Drosophila melanogaster: one gene and its partner. The protein of the gene in region 2 interacts with the protein of the main gene of each other region in a pairwise test. Each region holds a gene or a part of one and is shown on either strand. Other genes may lie near its edges.

Region 1 (7,568 bases), on a different chromosome or scaffold from region 2:
TTCCATTTTCCCTTGGCTAATTGTCGCGGGCCCAAAAGAAAGTCCATTCAAAATGGTTACGGATCGTTCCTGCCAAAAATCCATTGTTCTTAAGTAAATAGAGAGGGGCCAAGTCAACGAAAACTGAGGAAATATATATGTATGTGCACACAAGGAGCACAAATGATCGCTGAAAAATCCATGACATGTGTCCCAAGCAATCCAAGGATCCTGGGATTCGGCCAAGATGGAGTAGCGCACACGGGCCAAAGAACAGCTGGCAGTCGGAAAAGTGTGTGGAAAACGGTGGAAAGCCAGCCAATGCATGGCCACCTAACCAAAACACAATTTTGTGGGAGTGTCGCAAAGGCAAAGAATAAAAAAAAAAAGAAAACCAAAAAAAAAAAAAAAAGGAAAAGGTAAAAAGAAAAACAGAAGGAAACCCGAAACACACTCATTCCCCGTTTTTCACCACACGAAAGAAAATAAAAAACACCCCCAGAACGCAGAAAAAAAATCACTCAAACAAGCGTTTTCCAATGGAAAGTGGTGAACCGGCTGTGGTGTAATTTTTTCCGAGGGTTGAATGACGTCGCCAGCGGGGGAGGGGGATGGGGAGGAGCGGTCGGAAGCCGCTGCCGACGTCGCTGCCGACGTCGCTGCCGGCAGCACTGCCAGCGCCACAACCAAAACAACAAACCACAATTCACTTACACAACGCCGCAGCCGCAGTCGCAGTCGGTCCGCTGCCGCCGCGCTGCCCGCTTTTCCGCTTTTCCACTGCTGCCTTTTGTAAATAAAGAAGAATGCGCAAATTGGCGGCACAAATTGTTAAATACACTTTTCAGTATATTTTCAAATATATTCATAACGAAATAATAAGTTTGTTTTCCCTAAAAAAAAAAAACAAAACATTTATGCACGTTTTATAATACTTTACAAATATTTGTTGAATAAATTGATTATTGTATTTATTATAAACGCTTTTGAGCTATTAAAAGATATTTAATTTTTTACTACAAAATATGTTTCATGCTTAAATTAAATAATTTAAATTGAATTTCAGTTTCACTTTATACAGATGCTTAGTTAAAACAGTTTTTCGTCGTTATAATCGTTTCAAAAACGCATCAATATTGTTATTGTTCACTTGTCATTTGAAATAGTTAAACTAACCAAACACCGAAGGGTACAAAAATGTTCCTCGATTGGCAGTCGCTTTTGTTTTTTATTCTCCTGTGGCAGTGAGCATTTCCCCTGCGCCACTGGAATTTCCACGGTGCCAGAGTTTTCCGCTCTCTGTCGGTAATTTTTGTTGGGGGTTCTGGGGTTCTCCGTGGTCAATGGCTCCTGGCTCCTGGGATCCCTGTGCATTCAGTATAGCCTGGATAACGGTTGTGCGAGGAGCTCCATGAGGAGAGGCGGAGCCACGATCGGCGCAGCCGTCTCGTTCTCTCCCATAACGATCGCCCTACTAATAAATCATCCCCTCTTGGATGTCAGCTATTTCCGTAGCATCTGCTCGCCAACGGTTGGCCGATCTCTGCGGTTACCCCAGCCCCTCGAGCGTAGGTGCCTCTCTTTCGTTCGCCTGGTGCCGTCTCTTTCTGCGAGGGGGAGGGATCTTGCGCACGTATATGAATAATTCAACTGATCGCCGTGGTGATTGGGGGATGAACGGAGTACTGGTTTGTCCGTTCCTCGGAGGTGCGGAATGCACAGATCGTAGTTCTGATACCCATTCATTTCGAGGAAATTTATTCAGGAACGTCACGGTATTTGCATAAGTGAAATCGTATCTCACAGTTAGCAGCCTGTATCGTAGATTGATTACTAAAATACTTTTCTAAATAATCTGCACTAAGATATAGTTCAGATTGCGTAAGATCGGTAAGTACAGAAGCTTTTAATCGCACTGGAAGTTTTATTTACCGCTCACGACATTTGCATAGATGAAACCGTATCTTACAGATTCAAGTAGCTTGCGTACTAAACTACTGTACAAAAAATATCTGCACTAAGAAATAGTCGGGAGTGATTTTTTATGGTGAAGTACAGAAGTAAATTCAGCTAATTAAGCCTCGCTCTTTTTTGTTTTAAATTAACTGCTCAACAGCAGTGAGAAAAACATTGCATATATTGAGTACATGAATACAGGTTACTGTCGCCTTAATCTCCCATCGGTTAATCCCGCTAAAAAGCGAAGTCCTTTGAGTTTTTGGTGGCCAGGTAGGCACTTTCCGTATCAGATGCTCGTTGCTTATTTTTTGGGAACATATTTTATGGCCCGTGGCGGCGGCTAATCGGCCAAAATATTTGCGGGGCGTGCTGCTTAATCCGGGCGATTGACTTTCATAAGCAAAGGATTAAGATTGCGCGGTTGGACTACCTGTTTTGAGGTGCGATATCAGTACATGCGATGGTACATCTGAGGGCCAGGTACGTCAAAGCCAGTAAACCCATAGTTTTCCCACTTTTTTGGGGCCGCAAAAAAGCATCGGAGGGCCCATAAAAAAAGGGTTGATCCTTTTGGCTGCTGTGGGCTCGTAGCGAGTTCGGTATGGAGATCAGGTACTGCCTGGTGCTCGGTGATCCCTATGAGGCGGTCCTGCGGGTCCTGCGATGCGCGTGCTGCGGCAGCTCCTGTCGCAAATTGCCAAGGAATCGCAGCAGGATCCAAGAAGCGACGACAGGAGCGCTGATTTCCCGGGAAACCGGCAATCGTCAATCGGCCATCGGCAATCGCGTCCTTGTCGCACGCCCGCTAAACCTGCGCTGTCCTGCCATATATCCCGGGGCTATATGGTGTGAAATCGGTGTAGGGACACGAGGTCCTTCGCAGCGAGCGGCCGCGCACGTACAAAAGGCAGCGCTGCCGATACACTGGATTTACTGGAAGTGTGCGTCTATAATGTCCAGCTGAGAGCGGCGCGTTCTCGCGACATTTTGGTTGGTCTTGCCTCGTAGTTCCCCTACCAGAATGGCCATGCTCCCCATTCCTTCTCCTCCTCCTCCACGCGGTGCCTGGAAGAGTCCGCCACCTCGGAAAACTCGCGGGTCCTGTGTGGCCTCGTTTTTAAGGTTGTTTTGGTGGGCCGCAATTTTTTGGCCAGTCAGGCACTTGATTTGCGTTCCACTGCACGAAATGAGTGTTGAAGGAATTGAGAATATTACTTTAAATTGTCAAGTCAAGTGTCAAGTGTTATTCAGCAGCTCTTAAGAATTAATACACAGTTAATCCATTTTACATTAAGTTAATTAAATCGTTCATATTTCGTTTTTGAAGCTAAGTTTCGTAATCTGAATTACTATCTATGTATGTGCTAATCACTTAGCCAATCGCTAAGCAAAATGTACAAATCTTAAAACCTAAGTAAACGTAGATTAGTTTGAAGAGAGTTCAATGTAGGCAGCCAAAGATACTCGATGTTCTTCCAAGTATGACACTTCCGCATCAGATTAAATCCGATCAGCTAGCTAAACCTGATCCAATCAAGGATCGGCGATCGCAGGCAGCGAAAATGGAAATGAAATCGAGCCGGATTGCGCCACACGAACTGAGAGGCGCACAAATATTTACAGGACTAATCGCAGGATAATCGCCCGATCAGCATTAGGATTAAGTTCGATCCCCGGAGAGATCGATGGCACTGCATCTTAGATAGTACTGGAAGTGGACCGGACCTGACAATGGGTGTTAGTTGGACAGATTCAGATCGGAGATTGCAGATCAGTTGATCGAGTTCCGAGTTCCGAGATCGGCGATAAAGTAAATTTTGGGCGGAATCGAGAAAAACATTGAGCAACACTGAGGGATCAGTGTGCCGTAATATGATCAGCCGGGGATTTCTGATTATTTTGAATGAAACACTAATTTTTGGGACATTTTCGAACAATGGGACGCACTGTTATGCACGTGTATATGTTTATTAATTAGATCTGATCTTAAATTACTTAACTTAACTTATTTGAAATGAAATTATATGGATAACGTTGATGCATATTCAAAAAAAAAAAAATTAACACTGGAAATGATTAGTTTTTTGAACAGATTATTAAAACGATTTGTAGCACTAATAATGATGTATTTAAAATATCGTGCTTATGTTGATATATATATTATATATATATATATATATATATTATTATATTTATTATATTTTTTTCGGCATCTTCATCTTAATCGATAAGATACCTTCGAAAGCAATTAAATATATGATAATAAATACAAATATAAAGGAAAATATAATTCATCTTATGATAGTATGGGATAGTGTGTACTATATGTACTATAGATTATTATCATAATTGAAAATCCCATGTTCCAAAATTTTCCAAACTCCACAATCGTATCACCCATGAAATTAAAAGGCTTAAATCCTTTTATCCCAAAGTCATAGTGATATAGCTCTCCTGATGCTTGTGATAATATTTATGATAATTTCGCAACCTGATCCCTCCTCGCACTGACTAATTGAGTCCTCATGTCCTGTCGGCAGGACGCCCCTGGCATCCTAGCTACTCGGGAAAGGGAAGGCAAGGGAACGAGAAGGAGATGGTGAAGGGAACCCCCCGTTTGGCCATGGGTGCCTACCTGTACCACCCGCCCCCGCCCCCCTCGACGAACCCCTCCGCAGGAGGGCCGCCAAAACACGCGCGCCGCTGGAAGTGGAAAATGGGAAACTGTTGCACGGCCGTTTTTCTTTTGGCGTGCGTGGCGAAAAAATAAAATTCAAAGCGAAGAAAAGGAAAACGCACACAATTTCCAGACCGCCCGTGGGGAAAAGCGAGAGAGGAAGCGAGAGCCAGAGCGAGAGAGTGGAAAAGTCTCGGTGTATTTCTTTTTTGAGTTTTTCTTTGGTGCAATTTCCAGGCCATCACTCTCTCTCTCTCTTTCTCGCTCTCGCCCATGCGATTTTCCTTTTTTCCGCTGTTATTTTTTCCTTTTTGGCCACAAGTAACAAGCGACTTCTCTCTCACGTACACAGGCACACTAACACGACAGCCAAACACACACACACACACAAACACACAGAGAGACCGCAATGGAAAAATGGGAAATTTTTTGCTGTGGTTGTTGTTGCGGCGGCAATGGTGGTTGCTCGATATACCGATATATACCTGCCCCGGCACCCTTAAAGGCGCGCCTGTGTGCGTAGGTAGCCAACCACACCACCATACCGCCCAGGATAATGGGCGGGAAAGAGACGGCGCTAGCGCCGTGCAAGTGGGACGGGGCACAAACGCCGGCAGAGCCGTCGACAGAGGCGGCGAGCAGCGCATTCCACTTTAAATACTGCCAACGATCGCAGCAGAGAATCAGTTCACTCAGCGACTTTAGCGTGTCGAGAACGCACAGAGAAATATATCGTTTTCGACTTTGGAAAACAGAAACAGGCTCGAAAGAAGCAGAGTTCGAAATCGCGAAACAATCCAATAACAACAAACAAACGAATTTTTTCCAAGTGACCCCCGATAAAGTGAAGTGCATACCGAGAATCCGCAATAGAAAACCGGCAATTGTCGACAGCCCCAGGATTACGGCTACGATTTCCACATTCGGATACGAGATGCATCTGCCAGCGGGTCCAACGATGGTGGCCAACAACACACAGGTCCTGGCCGCTGCCGCCGCCGCAGCAGCCGCCGCAGCGGCCGCGGTAGCCCAGGGTCCTGGGCCGCAGCAGAGTAGCAATGCCACCACCGCCTCCGCAATCGCCATCAATCCCGCCCAGAGTCTGGCCAACACGAGCACCCACTCGGCCAGCAGCACGGGCAGCTCCACACCAGATCTCAGCACGAACAACACCAGCTCGAGCAGCAACGCCACCACCAGTCCGCAGAACTCCGCCAAGATGCCCAGCTCGATGACCGACATGTTCGCCAGCCTGCACGAGATGCTGCAGGAGTATCACGGCGAGCTGGCCCAGACCGGATCGCCCTCGATCCTCTGCAGCGCCCTGCCCAATCACTGGCGGTCGAACAAGTCGCTGCCCGGAGCCTTCAAGGTGATCGCCCTGGACGACGTGCCCGATGGCACCCTGGTGTCCATCAAGTGCGGCAACGACGAAAACTACTGCGGCGAGCTGAGGAACTGCACCACGACCATGAAGAACCAGGTGGCCAAGTTCAACGATCTGCGCTTCGTGGGACGATCGGGACGCGGCAAGTCCTTCACGCTGACCATCACCATTGCCACCTATCCGGTGCAGATCGCCAGCTACAGCAAAGCCATCAAGGTGACCGTCGACGGGCCACGGGAGCCAAGAAGTAAGCAAAGTGAGTTTTTTAGTTTCCATTATGTTTTCAGTTTAATCCACTCCCAAAGATCCCCAAAAAACCAATTCAGAAACCGTTTGCATATCTTCAATTACAATATTCATAGTTTTGAAAACATTTGCCAACACTAACTAGTTATGATCTTAAATAACTAATGCCATTTTTAAGCTCAACTTTAAATGATCAGTCTGTTTTGAAATGATTGCATTGATCACTTTATCTTAAAGATTTTATCATTATTTTTGCTTATCCTTTTGCAATTCGGTTTTGATACACATATCCAAGGATCTTGAGATCCATTGCCGCCAACCAAATCCCCCACCATCCCCCCAACCTTTTTAAAAACGCATTCCGATGAAATACGAGTTGTGCTTTACTGACTTCCCGCCCTTTTTCTTTATCCTTCCAGGCTATGGCTATCCCCATCCCGGCGCGTTTAACCCGTTCATGCTGAATCCCGCTTGGCTGGATGCGGCGTACATGACCTACGGCTATGCGGACTACTTCCGCCACCAGGCAGCCGCCCAGGCGGCCCAGGTGCATCATCCGGCACTGGCCAAGTCCTCGGCTTCCTCGGTGTCGCCAAATCCCAATCCATCGGTGGCCACCAGCTCCTCGTCGGCGGTTCAGCCATCTGAGTATCCCCATCCGGCGGCAGCAGTGGCAGCGGCGGCGGGACAACCGGCGGCCATGATGCCATCGCCACCGGGAGCGGCGCCTGCCACGCCCTATGCCATTCCGCAGTTCCCATTCAACCATGTGGCCGCCGCAGCCGCCGCCAAGGCAGCCACGCCACACGCCTTCCATCCGTATAACTTTGCCGCGGCAGCTGGCTTGCGGGCCCGCAATGCTGCCCTGCACCACCAGAGCGAGCCGGTCCACGTCAGCCCCGCCTCCTCCAGGCCCTCCAGCTCCTCGCCCACCCAGCAACACGTCCTGCTGAAGCTAAACACCTCCATCGAGACGAGCTCCATCCACGAGCAGTCCGCCAGTGACGGCGACTCCGACGACGAGCAGATCGACGTGGTCAAATCGGAGTTCGACCTGGACAAGAGCCTGGATGTGGCGCCACTTCGCATGCGCTGCGACCTGAAGGCGCCCTCGGCCATGAAGCCGCTCTACCACGAGAGCGGTCCTGGAGCGGTAGCCAACAGCCGCCAGCCGTCGCCGGAAACGACCACCAAGATCAAGAGCGCCGCCGTGCAGCAGAAGACCGTGTGGCGGCCCTACTAGGGCATCTGATCCCCAAAAATCTGGAGGAATGAAGAAAACAAAGTGATATAACAGCGGCGACGCAGAGCGGCAAGCGG
Region 2 (2,838 bases):
TAGTCCGCGGCGGCGTTCCCTTCACCTATTCCATTTTCACTCGACGCCTTTCCGCTTTCAGTTCGGAAAGAGACTGACTCGGATTCGGATTCAGATTCACATTCAGAGCAGTTGCAAAGTTTATTTCGGCAGCATCCCAAACGGAATGGCGGAAAATCAATACGTGCTCACGGGACCGGTGCTCTGGCCGCATCGAGAGTCAAGAGAGGACAGCCGCAGCCACAGCCGCGACAGGCCCACCCCGGAGAGTGGAGAGCACGGCGGAATGGCGGAACGGCAGCTGGACCCACTTCACCATCCTCGGGCAGTCGGCTCGGGTGGTGGTTGTTCCGAAAGTGGCGCAAATGAGGCCAAAGACCCCGGCTAGCAACCCTTAAGGAGGCCCAGATAAACAATCATTAGGTGAACATGAGTGGCTTTCGCCAAATGAATGACACACAAAACTCGGAAACTCCTTGTGAAATGAGAGTTTTAGTAATTGAGAGCAGATATTACCATTAGTGTATTAAACATAATCTCAGTATTATAAGAGCACGATCAATGGGTTTCAGATATTTATTGTTGATTTACTTAGATGTTACTTAAAGCTATGAGGGTAATATATAGCACTACCATCCCATTGGTCCTCTAGGCAGACCAGGCCCACCTCTGTGATGGTGATCCTCGGGTGGAGTCTGGGGCGTGTGGTAGATTCTCCTGGACTCAGCCATGCGCTGGTTGTAGCTTTGAATCTGCTCCTGCAGCTGAGCATCCTCCTGCTGGGCTCGTTGTTCATCGAACTCCAGGCAGGCAGCGCCATCCAGTCGGTCCAGATCCACCCAGCCCCGGAAGCGGACGCACACCCCGTTCATGATGAAACTAGAACGCAAATGAACTTTGCCCCGCTCCCGCTCGAAATCGCAATCCTGCTCCTGGGCGTACGGATTGTGGTTGGCGTTGAAGTAGAGCTGCAGATTAGTTCCTGAAGCTACCATCGATATCTCCGCATAGCCCTTGCGGCAGTCGTTGACAAACCGCATCCTGCGCTCCTCCATTGCACGTTCCCGGTATCCTGTGTAGCGAACCTCGCTCTCCCTACTCAATCGGCGGAAGAGCTCGTCGCTATCGAACTTGGACCTCTGGTCAGGCACCACGCGGGGCATCTTGAAGATGAATCTGGGCTTGGGCTGCTCGTACATAGCCATGGCTTCGTATGGCGGGATCATTCCATTCATGGCGGCCGCGTCTCCGAGATTCTGGTGATGATGCATGTCTAATGTTATAACTGTATTCTCCGAAAGATATAGTTGTACTGATCAATGTTAAAATTGACCGCCTTATTTAAACAAAAAAAAAAAGTTGTAGAACAGGTAATCGGGAGCGATTGGGCTACCTAACGAATCCCCTAATTGTCGCCTGGTAATCAAGGATGGAAACCATCTGGACACAATAAGGATCAGGTATAGCACTTATAAGTATCCTATTTGAGGTTTGTTTTATAATCCGTAGGGTTTTTACAGCTCCGAATATTATACTTTGAGGATTGCAGGTATAATGCTATCATAAATAAAACGAACGAATTGAACGCACTATATAATTTTAAGTTTAAATTCGAAATTACGTTTTAGCGGTAATTTTAACAGTGTTGGTTAGCACAGCGCTTAAGCAAAGGGAGTTGCCAACCATGGCAGCCCAAGCAGGTGACAACTCTAGAGTCCGGGCACATTAAACAGCTGTTGTGTATTGTATTGTTTAACTTTAGCAATTTTATAAACATGTCGCTTGTTGCTTATGCTGCCAGTTCTGATGAAGATTCGGAGAACGAAGAGGAAAATTCTGTACCACAAGTGGAAGTAATAAAACCCCAAGCCAAGCCGAGCACACCAAGTGAAGCGTATCTAGCTCGGGAATCAACCAGTGGTCACATTAGTGATGAAGATGACGACTACGTTCCCCAGGAAGTGTCCCTTCAGGAGTTAAAGCCGCCCAACGGAAGACTGCTATTAGCCTTACCCAAACCAAAAGTCACTGCTCCCGCTAAGGATCTGGAAAATGAGGATGTGGACAACCAGGTTACTTCCGCCTTTGCCAACCTGCCCATGCCACGAACAGCAGCGAAAGGAAAAGCCATTGTAGAGGAGAAAGACGATGAGTTTCTGCACAAAAAGGCGCTGCCCGTAGAAATAGAGAAACCTCCACCGCCGCCAGTCAAGGGAAAAGTAAAAATCAGCATTCCTTCACTAAGAGATTTCTCAGATGTAGACCAGGAGAAAGCTGACAGGGCTAAGAACAAAGTTGATAAGCCCAATGTACCCAAGGGATCGGGATTGTTGAGTCTGCTGCCCCAAGCAAAGTCGGAGCGCAACTTCTCCAAGAACTCTTCATCCGCGGTAGCCTACCCATCAGCCAGCACTACTCTTGCTTCCAGTCTAAGCAATAATCCTGCGCAGCCTCGAGCAGCACCAGCTTTTGTTCCCGATACAGTTAAGCAGCGACGAGCTGCACACAACACCGAAGGCGTAGATGGCCCTAAGGCCGGGCACAAGAAGAATCCTGAGACAAAAGACGCTTTGAAGTCAACAAAATCCAAACCTATAAGTAAACCCACTTCGCTGGTAAATGCCAGCGATAGTGAAGATGATGACGAAGATGGCACTGGAGACTTTTTCTCCCTGAATTCCGAGCAAAAGCTGCCTGAGGTGAGCAGCAACGAGATTAGCGCTCTAGTGGCCAAGCGAGCGGCCAAGATGGTGGAAGCCAGTAGCAAGTACCTAGAGGAGGTAGCCGAGAAGGAAGCAGCCGAAGCAGAAGCCGCCCGACTTCAGGAAGAGCAGTCTCAGATTGCACAAAAGCGCTACC

The links.
Region 1: the proteins of Bro (region 2) and run interact in binary tests that used the Drosophila melanogaster proteins (3 or more experiments, as listed by UniProt).

What each region holds. Positions count from the first base shown.
Region 1 is NC_004354.4:20,689,144-20,696,711, forward strand, and holds the start of run (runt), read left to right. Parts: upstream 1-1,526; 5' UTR 1,527-1,869; intron 1,870-4,967; 5' UTR 4,968-5,549; coding exon 5,550-6,258; intron 6,259-6,667; coding exon 6,668-7,491; 3' UTR 7,492-7,568. UniProt on the Drosophila melanogaster protein: Plays a pivotal role in regulating the expression of other pair-rule genes such as eve, ftz, and h.
Region 2 is NT_037436.4:1,646,317-1,649,154, reverse strand, and holds Bro (brother), read right to left. Parts: upstream 1,287-2,838; 5' UTR 1,251-1,286; coding exon 609-1,250; 3' UTR 543-608; downstream 1-542. Other genes in the region: CG17249 (uncharacterized protein), read left to right, coding at 1,755-2,838. UniProt on the Drosophila melanogaster protein: Regulates the DNA-binding properties of Runt.